Macaca mulatta: one gene and its partner. Each later gene encodes a partner of the first gene's protein in a complex. Links are inferred from orthologs where the notes say so. Each region holds a gene or a part of one and is shown in the gene's direction. Other genes may lie near its edges.

What was found.
Region 2: the proteins of KDM4A (region 1) and H3-4 are in contact, whole or in part, in a crystal structure (PDB 2YBP), measured with the Homo sapiens proteins. The link is inferred for Macaca mulatta from reciprocal best matches to the Homo sapiens genes KDM4A and H3-4. Residues at the interface, in NP_055478.2 of Homo sapiens: Ile71, Tyr85, Asn86, Ile87, Gln88, Ala134, Asp135, Val160, Ile166, Thr167, Ile168, Glu169, Gly170, Val171, Tyr175, Tyr177, Glu190, Asp191, His240, Lys241, Met242, Ser288, Thr289, Asn290, Arg309, Asp311, Met312, Val313, Lys314, Ile315; in NP_003484.1 of Homo sapiens: Ala32, Thr33, Gly34, Gly35, Val36, Lys37, Lys38, Pro39, His40, Arg41, Tyr42.

What each region holds. Positions count from the first base shown.
Region 1 is NC_133406.1:196,989,163-197,000,637, reverse strand, and holds part of KDM4A (lysine-specific demethylase 4A), read left to right. Parts: intron 1-263; coding exon 264-313; intron 314-1,053; coding exon 1,054-1,157; intron 1,158-1,552; coding exon 1,553-1,690; intron 1,691-2,372; coding exon 2,373-2,620; intron 2,621-3,399; coding exon 3,400-3,599; intron 3,600-6,100; coding exon 6,101-6,468; exon of another isoform or gene 6,469-6,834; intron 6,835-8,893; exon of another isoform or gene 8,894-9,535; intron 9,536-11,475. UniProt on the Homo sapiens protein: Histone demethylase that specifically demethylates 'Lys-9' and 'Lys-36' residues of histone H3, thereby playing a central role in histone code. Does not demethylate histone H3 'Lys-4', H3 'Lys-27' nor H4 'Lys-20'.
Region 2 is NC_133406.1:86,173,904-86,185,474, reverse strand, and holds H3-4 (histone H3.1), read left to right. Parts: upstream 1-5,203; 5' UTR 5,204-5,917; coding exon 5,918-6,328; 3' UTR 6,329-6,872; downstream 6,873-11,571. UniProt on the Homo sapiens protein: Core component of nucleosome. Nucleosomes wrap and compact DNA into chromatin, limiting DNA accessibility to the cellular machineries which require DNA as a template.

The sequences.
Region 1 (11,475 bases):
ACCATAAATCCTGGCTCATGGTGAACACTTAATAAACATCTTATTAAGTGAATGAATATAGAAGAAATAAATTCACTCACCTTTTTTATGGACTCTTTACTCCTGTGCCGAAACAGTCTAATATTTCATTTTTTCAGATTCCTTTCTAGTGCTTGGGAAGTTAAAAAAAATCTGCTATTTCAAGGTGTTTTGAGAGTGGGAATAAGCCCCTTAGCTTCTGTACCTGTCTCCGCCCAGCCTCTGATGCTCTCATGTGATTGCAGGTACTCTGTTCCACCTGAGCATGGAAAGCGGTTGGAACGCCTCGCCAAAGGTACTGTGTCTCGTCTGTTTGCTGGGTTGGACCCTCCTATGAGCTGTGCTCCTTGCTCTGCACTAAAATGTGCATTCCCCATGGTCAGATTCTTGCAGGTCCTGTTGCAGGCCTGCAGATGTGGGTGAGCCACATTGGTTACCTTAAGAGGGCAGTGACAGAGCCTTTTCTTCCTTTGTCCTGAGCAAGGACTTGGTCATTTCTTCTTTGATTGTCTGTGCCTCAGTTTTAATGAGCAGTGGTGTTTCTTTGACCAGCGATAATGAACCAGACCAGTATGACCGGTGTTTCCAGTAAAGACCCAAATGTTAAAGAAAAAATTGCATTTTATGCTTTGTTTCTTTTATGTGGACTTACATAGATTTGTATGTCTAGAGAACATACTTCAGGAAAGCCTGGGTAGATCATACTCTAGCTGCATTACTGAAGAAAGATCAGGGATACAAGTGACTGGAGAAAAGGTCCTAAATAGTTTCAAAGCTCTGTAAGAACAGAGTCAGCTTGGGTGACCTTGGTTTCCCAAACAGGATTTCATTACCCATGTAATGCCCTACATGGGAGTGAGCCCAGAGGCTCACTGTAGAATCTTAGAATTGGTGCGGAGCTATAGGGATCCTTGGAGGTCACATCGGTGATTCTTCCTGTTTATCATTCCGATGAGAAGCACAGGTGTGAAGTGACTCCGGATTGCAGAGCTAGTGTGGAGCACTGTGTTAACCCATACCCTTTCAATTAAATAGGCTTTTTCCCAGGAAGTGCTCAAAGCTGTGAGGCATTTCTCCGCCACAAGATGACCCTGATTTCCCCGTTAATGCTGAAGAAATATGGAATTCCCTTTGATAAGGTGAGCTGATGTTACATGCCAGAGTTCTCAGGCACCACCCTTTCTGGCCTTTTACAGAGTTTTATTCTAGTTCATCACTATAACAAGAGGGGGGCCAAAGCTTAAACTATGTAACAACCCTTTGATCTAAGAGCATTAAAGGTGGGGCCACTTTAGCTTCCAGGTGCCAGAGGAGAGTCAGATCCCCTTGAACAGTGTTCATTTGGAGGCATGGTTAATTATAGTCATGTCATCTGATATGTCTGGGCTTTGCATAATTTTATAGAAGACAGCAAGACCCCAGGGGTTTTATGACTTACCCTTTGTTGCTCAGCTAAGTTGTGGTGGAGCTCAGAATTCCAGTTCTGTGGACCTCTGCCATTTGAAGCAGCTGTTTCAAGTCTGCTCTTGTTCAGGTGACTCAAGAGGCCGGAGAGTTTATGATCACTTTCCCTTATGGTTACCATGCCGGCTTTAACCATGGCTTTAACTGTGCGGAGTCTACCAATTTTGCTACCCGTCGGTGGATTGAGTATGGCAAGCAAGCTGTGCTGGTAAGTCTGCTTGATTTCTTTCTATAACACCATGACAAAAATGAGCAAATTCTGGTTAGATACGTTGGCTGGTGATTAGAATATTTCTTTGAGTTGCTGGAATTCAGAAACGAGCAGCTAGCAGTGTGTCAGAGTACTAACATTTTGTGTTCATAAGGAATTTTAAAAAATGTGTTCAGATTTGGGAAGTATAAAATGAGGTTCGTAAGTCCATTAGGCATTAAAACCACATCCACACACGTTAATATTCTTGCCTTAGCCACTCTGAGACTTCTCTGTTGAAGTTCCTAGGGGTTTTCTTTACTCTAGGGAAGCGGCAGGGCTAGGCCTTTGACTCGTAGTAGTAGACTTGCTTGTGTGTTCCTGGCTTGGACAGGGAGCCAAGGGCAGGTGGCTCACCATCCTGGGGGCCTAAGTGCTGAGCCTAACCACCGTCTGTGGCCCCGAGTTAGTGCCCAGGTAGATTTGCCCCAGTAGTATGTATTCTCTGCCCTTTTTTCCCTGCTTCCCTTCATATTTGAAGGTCCTGCAAGGATAATATGCCCTCAGCCTGTGAACCAAAACAATCTGGTTATAAACCATCTTGCACTTGTTTCCATGTGGAGGGAGGAGCTAGGACTTGGGGGTGAGGTGGAAGCAGCAAGGTATGCTCACCTGGTGCTCTTCCGGTTCCTGCTGACAGTGCTCCTGTAGAAAGGACATGGTGAAGATCTCCATGGATGTGTTTGTGAGGAAGTTCCAGCCAGAAAGGTACAAACTTTGGAAAGCTGGAAAAGACAACACAGTTATTGACCATACTCTGCCCACGCCAGAAGCAGCTGAGTTTCTTATGGAGAGTGAACTGCCTCCAAGAGCTGGCAACGAGGAAGAGTGCCCAGAGGAGGACATGGAAGGGGTGGAGGATGGAGAGGAAGGAGACTTGAAGACAAGGTAACCCAGCAGCCCTTTGTCGTGGCTGTGTGAGGGAGAGGTGTCTGGGTAGGTCCTGTGACCTGTGGAGAGGCTGTTTCTAAGATGCTGTTTGTGCCTCGGCTGAGGGATTGTTCTTGGTAAAGGCTCCAGAAGCCGGAGAGCCAGAGCATTCAGGCACTTTCTGAATGAGAGAACTGCAGTGGGCGTGTAGTCTGCTGGAGCAAGGGGTTATTTATATGAGGGTCAAGGCATTTATGTGCGAAGGTTGGGCTCCCCCTGAGCCGGAAAAGTCATGTTTTCTCATCAGAGAGTCTTTTAAAAAGAAGTGTAGTGAGGATGAGACTCAAGGGCATTGGTAATGTTGTGATTTAAGTCTGCAGTGCCATTAGAGCAGACTTAAGAAGAGTCACCTTTTTAAGTCTGCACCAATGGGAAGCTGAGCCAGGGGATCTGTGCTCTGAGAATTTATCCTGGGCCATATGGGAAAGAAAGGAGGAACCGTTCCTTGGTACCTACTATATGCCAGGCACTTTGCCAGCTACTCTGCATACCTTTTCTTAGTCCTCACAACAAATCTGTTAGGTGGGTGGTAATACCTGTATCTTTTAGATGATGGAACAAGCTCAGAGAGGTGAAGTCCCTTGTCTCAAGTCACAAATAAGAGGTGTCCCTGAGTTTTGAGCCAGGCCTGACAGGCTCTGGCCATTCGCTTTGGGTTGTGTGTGGATGTGTAGGAATGTCTTTGAGTAAGTGGATGTATTTGTGGGCTCTTAAAAGATTTGCCCTCTCCCTTGCAGCCTGGCCAAGCACCGAATAGGGACAAAGAGGCACCGAGTTTGTCTTGAAATACCACAGGAGGTGAGTCAGAGTGAGCTCTTCCCCAAGGAGGAGCTGAGTTCTGAGCAGTATGAGATGACGGAGTGCCCGGCAGCCCTCGCCCCCGTGAGGCCCACCCATAGCTCTGTGCGGCAAGTTGAGGATGGTCTTACCTTCCCAGGTTAGTTGACTATGGTGTATTTTCCACAACCTTAACTCATACATGTGTCCCGTGTCAGATGCCATATTGAGTGCTGGGTGAGAAAGAAAGCAGAGTGACAGGTCTGTGAGCAGATAGTGTACTTGGAGTGTGGGAAGTGCTTTGGGTAGGGATGTACAGGGTGGACTGGACACGTAGGGAAAAGCTCCTCCCTCTGTCTGGTCAGGGGTCAGGGAAACACTGGAGGTTTTGGTGAAGGTGACTCTTACAAGGTAAGTAGGACCTTCCCAGGCGGACAGAGAGAGAGCAGGGATGTAGAAAGGGTGTTCCAGAGGGGAGGAGCAGGGCACAGGCGTGGAGATGGGAGAATTTTTTTTTTTTTTTTTTTTTGAGATGGAGTCTTGCTCTGTCATGCGGGCTGAAGTGCAGTGGCGCAATCTCGGCTCACTGCAACTTCTGCCTCCTGTGTTCAAGCGATTCTCCTGCCTCAGCCTCCCAACTAGCTAGGACTACAGGTGCCCGCCACCACGCCTGGCTAATTTTTTTTTGTATTTTTAGTAGAGATGGAGTTTCACCATGTTGGCCAGGCTGATCTTGAACTCCTGACTTCAGGTGATCCGCCTGCCTCGGCCTCCCAAAGTGCCGAGTGGGATTACAGGCTTGAGCCACCGTTCCCAGCAGAGATGGGAAATATTAATAGCATGGTCCACTTGGGGGAACTGGTGGGGAGTTTCCCTCAATTGAATATTAGGGTAGAAGGCAGCTGTGTGACCAGAAGGTGACGCTGGAGAAATAGGAGAGGATGTAGGGCTGTCTGCCATTTTCATTTGCTCACTTGGAAGCTTATATTTTAAGAGTGGGAGTGGTGTGATCAGTGTTGTTTAGCAGTCACTTGGAAGGTCATTGAGGCTAGATTTGTTGGAGAAAGGCTTGTATCTGTCTTGGGTCAGGTATGACGCTAAGATGTGGTCTGCTGACAGCCAGGTAGCACTGTGGACTGACGTTCTGGGCTGGGCTGGCTTCTAATTCAGCAGATTTTCTTTCCCTTTTTTCCCTTCAAATTTATTTATATTGACAGATAAAATGGTGCATATTTGTCATGTACAACATAATTTTTTTTTTTTTTTTTTTTTTTTTTTGAGACTGAGTCTGGCTCTGTCGCCCAGGCTGGAGTGCAGTGGCCGGATCTCAGCTCACTGCAAGCTCCGCCTCCCGGGTTTACGCCATTCTCCTGCCTCAGCCTCCAGAGTAGCTGGGACCACAGGCACTCGCCACTTCGCCCGGCTAGTTTTTTGTATTTTTTTAGTAGAGATGGGGTTTCACCGTGTTAGCCAGGATGGTCTCGATCTCCTGACCTCGTGATCCGCCCATCTCGGCCTCCCAAAGTGCTGGGATTACAGGCTTGAGCCACCGCGCCCGGCCACAACATAATTTTTTTGTTTTAGAAATAGGGTCTTGCTCTGTTGCACAAGCCTGTGCGAACACAGCTCACTGCAGCCTCAACTTTCCGGGCTCAAGCAATCCTCTTGCCTCAACCTCTCAAGTAGCCTGGACTACAGGCGTACGCCACCATGCCTGGCTACTTTTTTGTTTTTTGAGACGTAGTCACTCTGTCACCCAGGCTGGAATGCAGTGGCGATCTCGGCTCACTGCAATCTTTGCCTCCCGGGTTCAAGTGATTCTCCTGCCTCAGCCTCCTGAGTAGCTGGGACTACAGATGTGGGCCATCACGCCTGGCTGATTTTTTATATTTTTAGTAGAGATGGGGTTTCACCCTGTTAGCCAGGATGGTGTCGATCTCCTGACATCGTGATCTGCCTACCTCGGTCTCCCAAAGTGCTAGGATTACAGCCGTGAGCCACCGCGCCTGGCCCATGCCTGGCTAATTTTTAAATTTTGTAGAGATAGGGTCTCACTTTGTTGCCCAGGCTGGTCTTGAACTCCTGGGCTCTAGCAATCCTCCCATCTTGGCCTCCCAAAGTCCTGGGATTACAGTTGTGAACCACTTCTCCTGGTCCAACATGATTTGTGAAGTAGATATATGTTGTGGAATGGTTAAATCTAGCTGATTAAAATACATATTACTTCACATAGTTACCATTGTTGCAGTGAGAACATTTAACATACACCCTCTTAATATTTTTCAAGATCTTTAGATTTTCTAGCATGGGCTAGGTAGCCAGGTCTCTGCTGAGCTCAGACTTGTATTTCCTGCAGGAGACTTCGGAGGAAATGGCAGCTGCCCCTTACTGAGTGTCTGCTGAGTGCCAGGTGGTGCTCAGGAGTCTTATTTATGAGCCCTGCAGATATGTAGTAGCATCTTCTCACTACAGAGGAAGAAGCTGGAGGCCAGGAGGCTGAGCAGATAGCCCTGGCTCACAGTGTCCCTCAGTGACAGAGCCAGGATGGGAAGCCAGGTCCCATTCCTAGCCCATGTTCCTTGTGCTTTGCCACTCTGGCTTTCATCAGATTCACGTGTGCAGGTGGAACTTGGCTCTGTCTAACGTGTATGTGTGTTTCAGATTATTCTGACTCCACTGAAGTCAAATTTGAAGAGCTCAAAAATGTCAAACTAGAAGAGGAGGATGAGGAGGAAGAACAAGAAGCAGCAGCCTTGGATCTTTCTGTGAATCCTGCGTCTGTAGGGGGACGCCTTGTCTTCTCAGGCTCCCAAAAGAAGTCATCTAGCCTGGGCTCTGGCTCTTCACGGGATTCTGTCTCTTCTGATTCAGAAACTAGTGAGCCTCTCTCCTGCCGAGCCCAAGGGCAAACGGGAGTTCTCACTGTGCACAGTTATGCCAAAGGGGATGGCAGGGTCACTGTGGGAGAGCCATGCATGAGGAAGAAAGGGAGCGCCGCCAGAAGTATCAGTGAGCGGGAGCTGGCAGAGGTATGGGCTCCAGGCAGTGGTGTGGGCTGGGGAGCTGCCCTGAAGGACACCCTGTCGGGGAGGGGATCTGTGTTGGGGAGGTGGGTCTGTGTGGTGGAGGTGCTGCAGGAGGGCAGGAGAAACCCTCAGTCAGTGCCTCCAGCCTGCAGTGGTTGTGTCCAACAAAAGCCTGGGTGGCATTCACTCTCCCAGCTTGTTCTTTGCTGGGAGTTGCTTTTCTCTTATCCCTGTGGCTTCTGATTCCAAGAATTGCATCAATGCAGCCTCAGTCACAGCAGCAGATCCTCCTCAGCCCACTTGGATCACAATGCCTTTTTTTTTTTTTCTTGAGATAGAGTCTTGCTCTGTTGCGTAGGCTGGAGTGCAGTGGCGTGATGTTGGCTCACTGCAACCTCTGCCTTCCAGGTTCAAGCAGTTCTCCTGCCTCAGCCTCCCGAGTAGCTGGTATTACAGGCGTGTGCCACCACGCCCAGCTAGTTTTTGTATTTTTAGTAGAGACAGGGTTTCACCATGTTGGCCAGGCAGGTCTCAAACTCCTGACCTCAAGTGATCCGCCCACCTCAGTCTCCCAAAGTGCTGGAATTACAGGCATGAGCCACCGTGGCTGGCCTTTTCAGTTGGGGTGGGTGGGAACTCTTCCTCTGACCCTCATTGCCTTAGCGGCACAGGGGTTAGAATAGCTGCCATTGGAGCCCACATGTTTGGGGGTTTGGGATGAGATGAGATGAGATGGCCTTTCTTACCTTGAAATTCAAGGGTTTTTTTCTTACAAGTCTTGACTGCTCTGTAGACTCCCAGTATGACACTGATAGAACATCCTTTTGGAGACCAAGATGCATTCCCAAAGCTATAAATATGAACGTGTGTGTTCAGGCTTCCTCCATAAATATGTGTTGTCACCAAAAGCTGATTCCTGCTTTTGTGTAAAATGGCTCTTCGTGGGTCTGCCACTATGGGTGATCAGAGTCATGTCAGATGCAGCTGGACCCACACTACCCAAGGGACCTTCCCTGACTCCCCAGACTTACAGCTTATGTGGGTCAAGCTTGCAGCTTTTGATGAGGGGTGGCAGATATAAGAAGCCAGTGCAGAAGGTCCTCTTTATTCCCTATCCCCTTACCTTTAGTTTTTAAAAATTTAGCTCTTAAAAATCTTCACTATGGAAAATTTCTGAAGTATGTACAGAATACCATCACGAGCCCCCGCGTGTACTCATCATATATATGATTAGCATTTGGCACATTTGCTTTCTGTTTTCTTTGGCTGCAGTACTTGACACTCAGTCATATTCACATTTCCCTAGTGTTGCCAATAGTCCCTTTTTATGGTATGTTTATCTCCTTGTTGTTAATACTCGTAACTTTTCTCGGTGCCTTCTCTGAATCTCAGGGTACGGTTTTTGTAGACTTCCTTTTTACCTTGTGAATGTTCCTCTTTCCATCCCACTGTGGTTGCAGGCTAATGAGCTAATAACTACTGTGTTTCCTTCTCATTGCCTCTGATTGCAGTTCTCTATGCCTTCTTATGGCAGCTTCCATAAATGAGGGCTTTTTCAGCCTGGAAACCAGAGTCTCTTAAACTTCCAGTTGCCACCTAGCAATTCTTCCTTCACAGAGGCGCCGAGCCATTTCGTCCATCCTACTGTTCACTACAGTTCATGCTGTCCTCTTGCTGAGTCTTCCTGACATTCTTGTTTCTAGTTGCAATCACAATCACAAAAAGCAGCTAAGAAGTAGCAAGAGCTCACTGTATATTAAATACTTTGTTTTTCTTTTTTGAGACAGGGTCTTGCTCTGTTGCCCAGGGTAGAGTGCAGTGGCACAGTCTTGGCTCACTGCAACCTCTGTCCCCTGGGTTCAACCCATCCTTCCCACCTCAGCCTCCCAAATAGCTGGGACTACAGGTGCACCACCACTCTCAGCTAATCTTTGTATTTTCTCGGCTTATCTTTGTATTTTTGTATTTTTTGTAGAGATGGGGTTTCACTGTGTTGCCCAGACTGGTCTCGAACTCCTGGGCTCAAGTGATCCTCCTCCCTTGATCTCCCAAAGTGCCATGATTTCAAGTGTGAGCCACTGTGTGCCCCACCGCCCCCAGCTATTAAATACTTTATATGCATTGTTTAGTCTTTGTATTACTGGTTAATTAATCTTATTACAGAGTCAAGTTTTTGTGGGATTTTTTTGGGGTGGAGGTGCAGGAAGCCAATAAATAACACTTGTCCTTTTTCCTCTCAAATTTGGAACTATTTAATTGATGATACAAGAGTCAGGCATATGGAGCTCAGAATGTTGCTTTACTTACAAGTTAAAATGATTGAAGAAAGTGACTTTTAACCTGTGGCCAAATGGCCCTGCTACCCATTTACTCTTTTTTTTTTTTTTTTGAGACTGAGTCTCGCTCTGTTGCCCAGGCTGGAGTGCAGTGGTGCAATCTTGGCTCACTGCAAGCTCCGCCTCCCGGGTTCAGGTGATTCTCCTGCCCCAGCCTCCCCAGTAGCTGGGATTACGGGCATGCATCACCACTCCTGGTTAATTTTTGTATTTTTTTAGTAGAGATTTCACCATGTTGGCCAGGCTGGTCTGTAACTCCTGAGTGCCCGCCTCAGCCTCCCAAAGTGCTGAGATTACAGGTGTGAGCCATCGCGCCTGGACTACTCATTTACTCTTGATGTCTCCAGGCCCCTCTAGAGGCAAAGCATTTCCATGGAAGCACTCAGCTTCCATGTGGTGTGGACATAGGCCAGAATGCACTCCCTCTCCAAAAGACAGATCCTATTGAAGTGAATCACAGCTTTTAAGGGGGTGGGGAGAAGAAAAGCCAGGACTCTTTCCATGTGGAAGTATGCTGGGGGAAGGGGTCTTCTCTCTGACATGTCTCTCTTTTTCAGTCCTCTGCTCAAAAACCCTTGAGTGTCTTCTTGGTTCCTTTTTATTTCTGTATATACTTCTCAGGTCTAGCCTGATGATAATACCCTAATACCCTCTCTGCTGCATTGCCATCCATCCCTCCACCTCCAACATGTGCTAGCTTGTTTGTCTGAACTACTTAAAAGTCTCTAAAACTGTTTTGGCTGCCCTGCCTCTTCACTACTTTGTAATCATTTACAGCATGCCTGCTCTAGGCCAGGACTGTGCCTTCAAGGAACTCATAGTCTAGGAGAGATAGATAAGAGCAAATCATTCCAGTACTAATGATACGTGTTGTGGTACAAGTGGGAGAGTTAGCAGTTCAGCTTGGGGTTGCAGTGTGGATTTCAGGACTGCCCGAGAGAAGGAAACAGTTTAGGCCTGAGGTTAGAAGAATGCCAGGTGGATAGAAGGAAATCGAAGAGAGAATCTGGGAGAGTAGGATGTTCTAAATGCTCATGATAGCTCATGCCAGCATCAAAGCACTTGGGGATCTGCAGTGGTTTAGTTTGTCTCAGGTGTATAGGGCTAGAGAGGGCCTCAGGTGGTGCTTTTGGAGGATATCAAGAGCCAGAACCTGGAGGGTCTGCCTTGTTGCTCTGTGAAGCAGTTTGACCTCCTAGTTACAGTGTAGGGAGCAGCAGAAGGGTCCCCACCATATGCACCGTATGGGTTTGGAAATTGAAAGCTTTCATAATTCATTCTTTTAAATGCACACACAAAGGGCCGGGTGTGGTGGTGCATGCCTGTAATCCTAGCACTTTGGGAGGCCGACATGGGTGGATCACATGAGGTCAGGAGTTCAAGATCAGCTTGTCCAAAATAGAAAAATTAGCTGGGTGTGGTGGCGGGTGCCTATAATCCCAGCTGCTTGGGAGGCTGAGGCAGAAGTGCTTGAACCCCGGGGCGGAGGTTGCAGTGAGGTGAGATCACACCACTGCTCTCTAGTCTGGGTGAAAGAGTGAAACTTTGTCTCAAAAAAATAAATAATAAATGCACACACAAAGATTCAGAGGGAGGCCACGCAGGGTGCCGTGCACCTGTGGTCCCAGCACTTTGGGAGGCTGAGGTGCAAGAATCGCTTGAGCCCGAGAGGTTGAGGCTGCAATGAGCCATGACTGTACCATTGCACTACAGCCTGGGTGGCAGAATGACACAATATCTTAAAAAAGAAAGATGCAGAGCAAATAATACAGTGAACCCACAAATAAATTTTTTTTTTTGAGATGGAGTTTTGCTCTGTCGCCCAGGCTCGAGTGCAGTGGCATGATCTGGGCTCACTGCAGCCTTCACCTCCCGGCTTCAAGCAATTCTTTGCCTCAGCCTCCTAAGTAGCTGGGATTACAGGCGCCTGCCACCACGCCCGGCTAATTTTTGTATTTTTAGTAGAGACGGGGTTTCACTATCTTGGCCAGGCTGGTCTTGAACTCCTGACCTCATGATCTACCCACCTCAGCTTCCCAAAGTGCTGGAATTACAGGTGTGAGCCACTGCGCCCGGCCGAACCCATAAGTATTCTAACAGGTGTCAGGATCTTTCCATATTTGCTTTGTTTGTCCTATTTTCAATTTGCCGAAGTATTTATATTAAAATTATATTATCTTTATTAGTTTATAATGTACATATTTTTGGGGTACATGTGATATTTTAATACATTAATTTGTGAAGATTAAATCAGTGTAATTGGGAAATGTATCACCTTAAATATTTGTCTTTATGCTAGAAACATTCAAATAATTCTAACTATTTTGAAATGTACAATAGACTATTGTAAACTAGTCACCCTACTGATTTGTCAAACACTAGGTCTTATTTTTTCTATCAAACTATATATTTGTGCCCATTAATCTGCCTCTCTGCTGGAGTATTTTAAAGCACATCCCAGATACCTTGTCATTTCTTCCCTACTTCAGTGTGTATCTTTGAAAAATATGGTCACAGGCCGGGCGCGGTGGCTCAAGCCTGTAATCCCAGCACTTTGGGAGGCCGAGACGGGCGGATCACGAGGTCAGGAGATTGAGACCATCCTGGCTAACACAGTGAAACCCCGTCTCTACTAAAAATACAAAAACTTAGCCGGGCGAGGTGGCAGGCGCCT
Region 2 (11,571 bases), about 110 Mb from region 1:
AAATGGGCTTTGGTTTAACCCACTATATTTGTGGTAACATGTTATGGCAACAATAGAAAATGAACGCAAAGTCTGTTTTAGAGGTAGCCAGAATAGTTTGGGTTAATAGATGCTTCTGGAATTCTTTTTTTTTTTTTTTTTTTGACACGGAGTCTTGCTCTGTCGCCCAGGCTGGAGTGCAGTGGCATTATCTCTGCTCACTGTGACCTCCGCCTCCTGGGTTCAAGCAATTCTCCTGCCTCAGCTTCCTGAGTAGTTGGGATTACAGGTACATGCCACCATGCCCAGCTAAGTTTGGTATTTTTACTAGAGACTGGGTTTCACTATGTTGGCCAGGCTGGTCTTGAACTCCTGACCTCGTGATCCACCCTCCTCGGCCTCCCAAAGTGCTGGAATTACAGGTGTGAGCCACCGCGCCCAGTTGGCTTCTGGAATTCGTAAGAATAGACAGGGCATATCTGAAGCCCTGTCTAGACAATGTTTTTGTTGGTATTATGAATTGATGGTGCACAGTTACTACTAAATACACATAATCTGTGTAAAGAAGGAGAAAGTTACTATATGAGAGCTTCAGCACTCCCCTGACATGAAAAAGAGATGAGCACTTCATCCCTTTTACCTTGCTGTACTCATCCAGGCTGTATCCATTTAGTCCAGTTCCAGGTGAGGATGCTGATTTCTATCAAATAGCCTTTCTGGGATTTCTAAGACTCAAGAGAGAACATAAGATTGCATACTGTGTGTCAATAGTTCAGACTTTCAGAAAGAATGAAATTCCTCATCTGCATTTCCTCCTTTCTATCAAGAATCCCATCGTAGTTACCATGTTTATTATACCATTAAGGAGGAGGAGGGGGTCGGCCCGAGTGCACAAAATCAACAGTCACACTAGGAGCTGGTATTGTCAGCTATTCCCCTTGTTTTTTCATACTAACTTATTTTCTCTCCACATTTTTGTCTTGTAGATTCAGAAATCCCTGCGCCAACTAGAACCCTTTGAAACTAACCCTGACTATCATCAACAAGGAATGTGGCTGCTTCCATAGCATATTTGAAGTACAGAACTCAAGAAAATGCTTCCTACTGATGGAGTTTCCTGCAGAGTGGGCCGGAGAAGTGGGGTGCCAGATGGAAGGGCATATTGGATGGAGAGAGAAGGCATTCTTTCTAACAGTGGGAAACCCTAGTGCACACTGGCTTTGCAAGAGTCTTTGGAGGACAGAGCTCACCATTGCTTTGTGCACTTTTTACCCCCGACCTAGAAGGAGTGCCTGTTCCTGTAAGACCCCCTCTCTGCGCTTACAGTGAGTTTGTGAAAGTTCAGATGGTTTCAGCCTTGCTGCTGCCCAGACTAAGGAGAAATGCCAATTGATAAATTGGACAAGCGATAGCATGTTGTTGGCTGATAGGAGTGCTCCTAGAGATGATGCAACATGACCAACCATGTAGGACCCCCAAATCTCAAAGAACTTTAACAAGAGGACACAAGGCCCATTATTGCCCCAGCTGTACATACAAAACCATGGGCAGAGAGAATGAGGAGACAGAGAACACACACTGATTTACCGAATGCGTGAGGCCTTGACAGACCAGTTCCTTGGGAGGAATGTTTATATCTCACACTTTCTTCAGTTTGCAGAGGAAATCTCTCCTCTTGGGAAGTTTTCAGGGGACATTTTTCTATGGGTCTTGGTCCTTCTGGGGGTTTTAACAACATAGAACACAATGATTGGAGATCGAGAAAATGAACTGTTCGGCTGATCATCTAAAAAGAGCTTTTACATGTAATATAGAGGCTGTTCTCAAGCCTTGCCAGGGGTGGGTGGGTCCGCATTTAGGCAGCCCTGCATTCTGTGCTTCGTGTGAGTGTGCATTTGTTTGCTCAGACACATAGAACCAGGTGGCATCCTGTGCTATGTCTGGGTGGTTTGGGGGCTCAAAGCCCCTGAGAATCTAAAGGCAAAAGCCCTTATGACTGGAAAAGTGAGGTCGCAGACATATGCCCAAAACCTATGAGCCTCTTGGATGCACTCAGAGAACTGGCCAAGCCTGTGCCATGCTCCGCAGAGAGGCCTGGGCAGAGTCATGAGGCAGAAAGGGCTGCTTTGCAGGTGCTCCTGGGGAGGTCGCTGCAGGTGCTCCTGGGGAGGTCGCAGCAGCTGCTGGTAATCCATCATCCGCCCATCATCAGCCCCATTAGCCCTAAGGACACCTGGAGAGTCCCAAGGCTGCCCCTCTCGAGTGAGAGACAGCTCCAGGAAGATCGAACATGTCCAAATCCTCACAGGCAGTTAAACGGTTGAGCAGCATCTGGTCTGGCCAGGTCAGACCCCACATCGTTTACACCAGGGGTGAGCCTGGGTGGACTTCACAGGTGGATGGTCCTAGGGTCCTTCCACATGTCTGACCAGCCAACCAGACCCGATGAGCAGAGAGCAGCAGGCCTTCTGTGTAAAAACCACTGTCCAATAAAAAAACCAATCCAGACTTAGTAAGCAGAGATCTTTATGCAAAAGGATATCGCAACAGGAGACACCAGAATACTGCAATAGGGAGAAAGCATTGACCTTAAGGTCTGCAAGCTCTCAAAGGTGACGCAGAGGAGTTTTCTCATATAGGGAGGAATGAATGCGGCTGGAAAGAACCAGGTCTGGGGAAGTGGGGTGAAGGGTGGCTGAGGGGACAAGAGATTGAGGATACTTTACCCTGAGCCTGGCCTGCTCCAGGAGGGGCCAAACATCAGGGCCCTGGGGGAGGGGAGAAGCTGAACCAAGGCTGGGCAAACAAGCACCTTGTGTGGATTGACCCATGGGGACAAGGGGTTCAGGTAGTAATTGATAAGACAAAGATGGCAATGTAGTGGGTGCTATAGTTTGAATAAGGTATTTGTCTCATTAATTCTCATGTTGAAATTTAATCTCCAGTGTTAGAGGTGCAACCTGGTGGGAGGTGCTTAGGTCCTGGGGGCAGATCCTTCATGAATAGACTCCTGCCCTCCCTCGTGGGGAGTGGAGTTCTTGCTCTATTAGTTCCTGCCAAAGCTGGTTGTTAAAAAGAGCCCAGTACCTCCTCCTCTCTCTTTCCCTGTGACCTCTGCACACAGGGGCTCCCCTTCATCTTCCATCATGAGTGGAGGATTCCTGAGGGCCGCATCAGAAGCAGATGCTGGAGCCTTGCTTCTTATAGAGCCTGCAGAACCATAAGCTAAAAAATGTTTTGATAAATAACCCAGCCTCTGGTATTCCTTTACAGCAATGCAAAACAGACCAAGACAGTGGGCCTGTCATGCATCAACAAGGGGCGCTGTAGGGGAGGCAGAATTCTACCTCCCTTATCTTAGGGTCCAGGCTGGGCCCAAGAATTAGACTGACATTAGAGAGATGAGCAGGAGAAAAACATACAGTTATTTAATACAAATTTAATGTGACACAGGAGCCCTCATAAGGAAATGAAGATGCAAAGATGCAGTTAGGATCACTTATATACAGAGGTGGACAAACACTAGTAAGTTGTGAGATTTGATAAGGCCACGGGGCTTGGGTGAGGATAGTCAATGGGGTGAAGAAATGACTAGGTCAAAATGCTTACACACTAGGTTGAACAAAGAGTAGTAACTGTGGCAACAACTAGGAAGATAAGGGTTAGTTTAATAAAGTTTGTTTGTATAGATTTCTCTTGGCTTCTGTCTTAGTCTGTTTCGTGTTGTTAAAGGAATACCTGAGACTGGATGATTTATTGGAAAAAAAAAAAAAAGGTATTGGCTTATGGTTTCCCAGGCTGTACAAGAAGCACGGTGGCTGGGTGCAGTGGCTCACGCCTGTAATCCCAGCTACTCGGGAGGCTGAGGCAGGAGAGTTGCTTGAACTTCCCGGGAGGCGGACGTTGTAGTGGGCTGAGATCACACCACTGCACTCCAGCCTGGGCAACAGGGTGAGACTCAGGTCAAAAAAACAAAAAAAGCACGGTGGCCCAGCATGGTGGCTCAAGCCTGTAATCCTAGCACTTTGGGAGGCCAAGGTCGGGGGATCAGTTGAACTCAGGAATTCAAGACCAGCTTGGTCAACATAATGACAGCCCATCTCTCCAAAAAATTTAAAAATTAGCTGGATGTGGTCCCAGCTACTTGGGAGGCTGAGGTAGGAGGGGCCTGGGCAACAGAGCAAGACTGAAAAAAGAAAGAGAGGAGGGGAGGGGAGGGAAGAAGATAAAAAGAAAGGAAAGGAAGGAAGGAAGAAAGGGAGCGAAGAAGGGAGGGAGGGAGAGAGAAAGGAAGGGAGGGAGGGAGAATGGAAGGAAGCAAGTATAGGGCCCACCTCTGCTTCTGGTGAGGGCCTCTGGCTGCTTCTGCTCATGGTGGAAGGTGAAGGGGAACCCATGTGTGTGCAGAGGTCACAGGACTGCACAAGAGAGGAAGCCAGAAAGAGAGGGGAGGGGAGTGCCAGGCTCTTTTCAACAACCAGCTCTTCAGGGAACCAACAGAGTGAGAACTCACCCTAAAGGAGGGCAGGACTCTATTCAGAGGGTGACACCTCCAGGACCCACACACCTCCCACTGAGCCCCGGCTCCAACTTTAGGGATCAAATTTCAGCTTCAGAGTTGGAGGAGATTTGGAAGCTTCCACCTTCTGGTCCTTGATGATAAGAACGTTCCCTTCCTTTTACTATAAGGAGAACATCTTTCATAGGGGAATTCTATTTCTTGCCTTTAAGAAACAACAAGAAATTCAGAATGATCTTCCTACACCTGCCTCTTTTTTTTTTTTTTTTTTTTTTTAAGTGCCTTTATCTCAAAAGAGTTAATATGCCAGAAAGGCATATCTTTACCTTCTTCAGCATCCTAAGGCTCATCTGAGCCATACAGCAAAGGGAGTTCTTTGCAGGTCATAAAAAGTGGAAGACTCCTTTAACTCTGGTTGGATCCCAGAGCTGTATCACTGTGTAAAAGTGGAATGCCGGCTGGGCGCGGTGGCTCACGCCTGTAATCCCAGCATTTTGGGAGGCTGAGGCAGGTGGATCACGAGGTCAGGAGATCGAGATCATCCTGGCTAACATGGTGAAACCCTGTCTCTACTAAAAATACAAAACAAAATTAGCCGGGTGTGGTGGTGGGCGCCTGTAGTCCCAGCTATTTGGGAGGCTGAGGCAGGAGAATTGCCTGAACCCTGGAGGCGGAGCTTGCAGTGAGCCGGGATTGCGCCACTGCACTCCAGCCTGGGTAACAGAGCGAGACTCCGTCTCAAAAAAAAAAAAAAAAAGTGGAATGCCAGCTGGGCCTGGTGGCTCATGCCTGTAATCCCAGCACTTTGGGAGGCCGAGGCAGGTGGATCACCTGAGGTCAGGAGTTTGAGACCAGCCTGGCCAATATGGTGAAAACCCATCTCTTTGTGGTGGATACCTGTAATCCCTGTAATCCCAGTTACTTGGTAGGCTGAGGCAGAAGAATCGCTTGAACCTGGGAGGTAGAGGTTGCAGTGAGCAGAGATCGCGCCATTGCACTCCAGCCTGGGCAACAAGAGTTAAACTCCATCTCAAAAAATTTTTTTAAAATTAATTTTTAAAAAAAGTGGAATGCCGCATGCTGGCTTTCGGAAGGCTCTTCCCACCCAAGTCATGAGGAAGGGAGAAGAGGATTGCTGAGGAGACACGAGGAAGCTTGTGCTGGAGAGAGATGATCTCCACCGCCGTGGCCTACCCGCATCAACCCTTCACAATGCTGGTGCTAGCTCTGGTGGCCACGACCAACAAGCACTAATATAAGGGAGAGGCGGCCGAGTGGCGTGCCCTGTGGACCAATCAGAGAGTAGGGGGCCATCACGCCACCTGAGGCCAGCCAATGAAAACGCGGCAAGCTCTATAAAAGCGGGCAATCAGCTTAGGTCTGGTCAGAGGACACAGCAGAGACAACAGTTTCAAATTCATGGCCCGAACCAAGCAGACTGCGCGCAAGTCGACGGGTGGCAAGGCGCCACGCAAGCAGCTGGCCACTAAGGTGGCTCGCAAGAGCGCACCCGCCACTGGCGGCGTGAAGAAGCCGCACCGCTACCGACCTGGCACAGTGGCGCTTCGCGAGATCCGCCGCTACCAGAAGTCCACTGAGCTGCTAATCCGCAAGCTGCCCTTCCAGCGGCTGGTGCGCGAGATCGCTCAGGACTTTAAGACCGACCTGCGCTTCCAGAGCTCGGCCGTGATGGCGCTGCAGGAGGCGTGCGAGTCTTACCTGGTTGGGCTGTTCGAGGACACCAACCTGTGTGCCATCCACGCCAAACGGGTCACCATCATGCCCAAGGACATCCAGCTGGCACGCCGTATCCGTGGGGAGCGGGCCTAGGAGGGCCATCTCGCCACCTGAGAGGTTGCGCAACGTTCACCCCAAAGGCTCTTTTAAGAGCCACCCACCTGGTCGGAAGAGTTGCTGTAGCAAGCCAGGCTCTTGGGTTTTGGGGGTTCCTTCCGCTGGCCGGTGCTGGCTTACCTAATTCTGATTAGGGTGGGAGGCTGGCGAATCCTGTGTTCACCCTGTCCAGTTAGGAGGCCAGCTACTCATGCGCGTTACCTCCCAGCCTGTCTCCAGTTACAAGTCCAGCTAGTCGTGTGTGGTGCTAACTTGGTCTATCCCTTTAGATAAGAATCATGGTTGGTCTGTTTGGGGACGGGGTGTTGAGGGTAGCGTAACTGGCCTATCTGCAGTTAGGTAAGCAACCCCAGCTAGTTGTGTCAACTCAGCCTATCTACAGTTAGGTTGGAAGGCTGGCTGGTCTTGTGTGTTCTCAGCTCAGCCTCTTTCAAACTGTTACAAGTCCTGCGTGTGTGTGTGTGTGTGTACACACAGCTTCTTTCCAGTGAGGTTACCAGTCCAGCTAGTCTCCTACCTAGACAGCCTGTTAAGGCCAGCAAGTAGTATGTGTTATCTTGGCCTATTTTCAGTTAGAAGTCCAGCTACTTCACCAGCGTGGCAGCTCAGGTCTGTAATCCCAGCACTTTGGGAGGCCAAGGCGGGTGGATCACCTGAGGTCAGGAGTTCCAGACCTGCCTGGCCAACATGGTGAAACCCCATCTCTACTAAAAAGACAAAAATTAGCCAGGTGTGGTGGCACATGCCCGTAATCCCAGCTACTTGGGAGGCTGAGGCAGGAGAACTGCTTGAACCCAGGAGACAGATGTTGCAGTGAGCCAAGATCATGCCACTGCACTCCAGCATGGGCAACAGAGCGAGACTCAGTCTCAAAACCAAAAAAAAAAAAAAAAAAAAAAACAAAGTCCAGCTACTTGTGTGTGTTAACTCAGCCTACCTCCTGTTAATTTAGAAAGCTGGCTAGTTGTATATCTTGTTAACTTGGGCTATCTCCCATTAGGTTAGAAGGCTGGCTAGGGGTGTGTGTGTGTGTATGTGCGCACGTGCACGTGTGCCCATGTGCACACACATATGTAGCTGTGATGTTGGCCCATCTCCAGTTAGAAGTCCACGTCATTGTATGTGTTAACATACCCAATCTCCCATTCAGTTAAAAGGCTGGCTAGTCATGTATGTTGTTAATTCACCCTATCTTCTGTTAGGGTAGATGACTAGCTAGTTGCGTGTGAGAAGCGCAGCCAGGCATGTGCATTGTTAATTCAGCCTAAGTGAAATCAATACTGGGAAACCCCAGCCTAAAGTTCAAAGAGGGCACTCTGCCCTGGAAGTCAGCTTACTGAGCAGTCGCAGACAGGGGTGGCCCATGTGCCCGGCACTTTGAAACAGGCTTCCCAGTGCCACAAAGTAGTCTGGCAGTGCTCTGGGGATGAGAGACACAGAGACCAACTTGCTGAGAAATCCTACAGCTAGGGCAGCAGGCCACAGATCCAATAGTAGACTTATGTCGGGAAAACCTGAGGATGGCTGTGAGGATAAGGATGTAGGGATTGTCTCCCTCTGGTACAGGTTGGAATCATTTATTTGTTAAAGGCTTTATTAAACTGAATGAAGCCAAGCACTACCCCATGCTGGGATCATGGAGGGAATAAAATCCATTTCCTGTGGGAATAAAATCCAATCCCAGAATGGGCTGCTGCCCACTCTGCTTTCAAGGTGCTTATGCTTGAGTGAAGGGGGCCTGTATTGTGTGTAGAAGCAATGATAGTAAAAGATGCTCTTAAACATAGCAAGGGGTGTGCGCAAAACGCTATCAATAGGCAACAGTGGATTTTATAAGTCTCTTTGAATCCAATTTATAGCCTGTAGACTCAAAATTCAAAAGCTTCATCAATTTATTAGTACACACACAACTGAACATCATACCTTTTAAATCTCAGGATATATTTAAACTTATGAGTGCCAAATCCTTGGAGAGCTATCCAGAAAGCCTAGAATATTCAGGGAGAGCTGTGTTCTGGTTTTGAAAGTCAGTTCTGACTTTCAATACTAGACTCTTTTGGGATAAATTTAAGTTTTCCCTTTTTGTTTTTTTTTGTTTGTTTGTTTGTTTGTTTGTTTTGAGACGGAGTCTTGCTCTGTCGCCCAGGCTGGAGTACAGTGGCCGGATCTCAGCTCACTGCAAGCTCCGCCTCCCGGGTTTACGCCATTCTCCTGCCTCAGCCTCCCGAGTAGCTGGGACTACAGGCGCCCGCCACCTCGCCCGGCTAGTTTTTTGTATTTTTTAGTAGAGACGGGGTTTCACCGTGTTAGCCAGGATGGTCTCGATCTCCTGACCTCGTGATCCGCCCGTCTCGGCCTCCCAAAGTGCTGGGATTACAGGCTTGAGCCACCGCGCCTGGCCCCTTTTTGTTTTGTTTTTTCAGAGACAGGGTCTTGCCATGCTGCCCAGGTTGAAGTGCAGTGGCTATTCACAGACATGAGCATAGTGGCCAGCCTCGAACTCCTGGGCTCAAGCCATCTTCCTGCCTTAGCCTCCCAAGCAGATAAAGTTCAAGTCTTCTATACTTTACAAAGCCCTTGTCCTGATAAAGTCTTGCCCAGTGGTGGAAAGCTAAACCTATGTAACCTTGCTGATGATCTTGCTGGGCAGCCTGGAAGGAGCAGTAATTTGGGCAGCTAGCTACATTTACGTAACTGGATGCAGATAATGCATTCTTGACAGGATCATGATCAAGCTTTGCCTTCTGTAGGACACCAAGCCACTTGAGCAGCCCCCTGTCATTCTGGTCTTTGTATGAGAACAGAGCCTAAGTTTGGCAGTGTGGCACATGCCTGTAATCCTAGCTACTGGGGAGGCAAGAGGATAACTTGAGCCCAGGAGTTTTTGAGGCCAATCTGGGCAACAGACCCTGTCAAAAACAACAACAACAAAACAAAACAAAGAACAAAACAAAAAAACAACAACAAAAAACAAGAGCTTGGTCTTATATGTTCCTTGTTTTCACTGTTTAATGGAGTGGATAGTGCACGAATTGATGCCCTATAAAGATATAACAAGGCAACACAGGGCAATTTGTACATCAGAACTGACTGCTGAGGACCTAAGGTGAGGAGCTAAGGAAAGAAGTTTAGACACAGGAAGAAAGTAACCGAAGTCTTTCTGGGTTGTGTAAGCGGGTATTTGAGGAAGCCTTTCCAGCCAGGCATGGTGGTTCATGCATGTAATTCCAGCTTTTTGGGAGGCTGAGATGGGAGGATTTCTTGAGGCCAAGGAGTTCAAGACCAGCCTGGACAACATGGCAAGACTCTGTCTCTATAAAAAATATAAAAATTAGCTGGGCATGATGGCATGTGCCTGTGGTCCTAACTACTTAGAAGGCTGAGGTGGGAGGATCGCTTGAGCCCAAGAGTTCCAAGTTACAGTGAGCAGTAAGCAGTGATCACACCACTGCACTCCATTCTGGGCAACAAAGCCAGACCCTTACAATTACAATCAACACCTTTGCTTCTGTATCCTGCGAGTCCTAATGATGTGGGATAGTAACTGAAATGTGGTATCTGTTCACCATGTACTCAACTCTTCAAGAGCATATACACTATGGAGACAGCCTGAGCATGCAGTCTATAAAAGTGGAATGAGTGGTTCTAAATATCCAAAGGTTAAAATTCCAGAAATAAACAACAGAAAGGAGAGTTAGGCATTAAGAGATAGTGCCGCAGACCTTGGTGGACTGAACAAAGGAGGACAAATGTGGGAATAAAGACAAAGACAAAAGAGTATATTTGGATAAAGGGGTCAGGGGGCTCCTTGCTTCTAGTGAACAAGGGTCCTGAGCTGCTAGAGCCCTTCATATTTATTGAGTAAAGGAGATAGGGAGAAGGGGGTGGTTGTGGTCAGCTGCTTGACTTAGTGCAGGCCTGCATGACTACATTCTTTGAACAGTAGGCTCCAGATGTCCCAGAAGATAACCTCAAGGGGCACAGAGCCAGGGAATGAGGCCCTCAGTGTACCTTCTGGCAGCAGACACAGATGCGAGTTTGCCCACATCCTGCATTCATGATAAACAGTTTGCTGTTTAATCATATAGCTTCTAGTGGAGTGCTGAGTTGGTCACGACCCTCAGATTTTCGGCTCCCAACAAGATAGCAGAATATACCTCCCCAAAATATGCAGATTTGATATAAGAATTATTTTGAGCTGAAGGCACTTGAAGAGCAGTAGGTGTAAGAAGGGCCCTCTGGCCCCTCTTCCTGAAAGCAGGTGATGAACCCTCCATGGGAAAGGTGCTTGCCTCTACCAGGGGGAGAAACAGCATGACTAGGCATGGGGACTGAAGTGCAGTGAAATGTGTACAAACAGGCTTTGTTAAAATAGCTCTTATCACCGGGTAGAGTGGCTTACGCCTGTAATCCCAGCACTTTGGGAGGCCAAGGCAGGCAGATCACCTGAGGTTAGGAGTTCCAGACCAGCCTGGCCAACATGAAACCCCATATCTACTTTAAAAAAAAAAAAAAAAATTCAGCTGGGTGTGGTGGTGTGCACCTGTAGTCCCAGCTACTTGGGAGGCTGAGGCAGAAGAATTGCTTGAACCCAGGAGGTGGAGGTTACAGTGAGCCACGATCACACCACTGCACTCCAGGCTGGGTGACAGAGTGAGACTCTGCCTCAAACAAACAAACAAACAAAAATAGCTCTTACCTTCCTCCAGCCTCCCTGGGTATTCCAGTTGCTTTCTCATAATTACTACCCTTTATCCATCCAGTGGATAAGCACTTAGGCCTAACTGCTCTTGAGGTCTTCATTTTGCTGTGAAGGCTCCCATGTACATGTAAAAGTAAAACGTATATGCTTTCTCCCATTAATCTGTCTTCTTTCATTTTAGTCTATGCAGGCTGCTATAACAAAATGCTATGGGCTTGGTGGTTAATAAGTGACAGGACTTTATTGTTCACAGATCTGGTGGCTGGCAAGTCCAAGGTCAAGGTGCCAACAGATTCAGCTTCTGGTGAGATCCTGCTTTCTGGTTCACAGACAGGGCCTTCTCACTGTGTCCTCATGTGGTGCAAGGGGTAAGGGGAAAATAAATCTCTGGAAGGGCACCAATCCTATTCATGAAGGCTCCACCCTTATGGCATAATTACTTTCCAAAGAACCCCATCTCCTAACACCATTACCTTGGAGGTGAGGATTTCAAAATATGAATTTTGGAGACAAACAT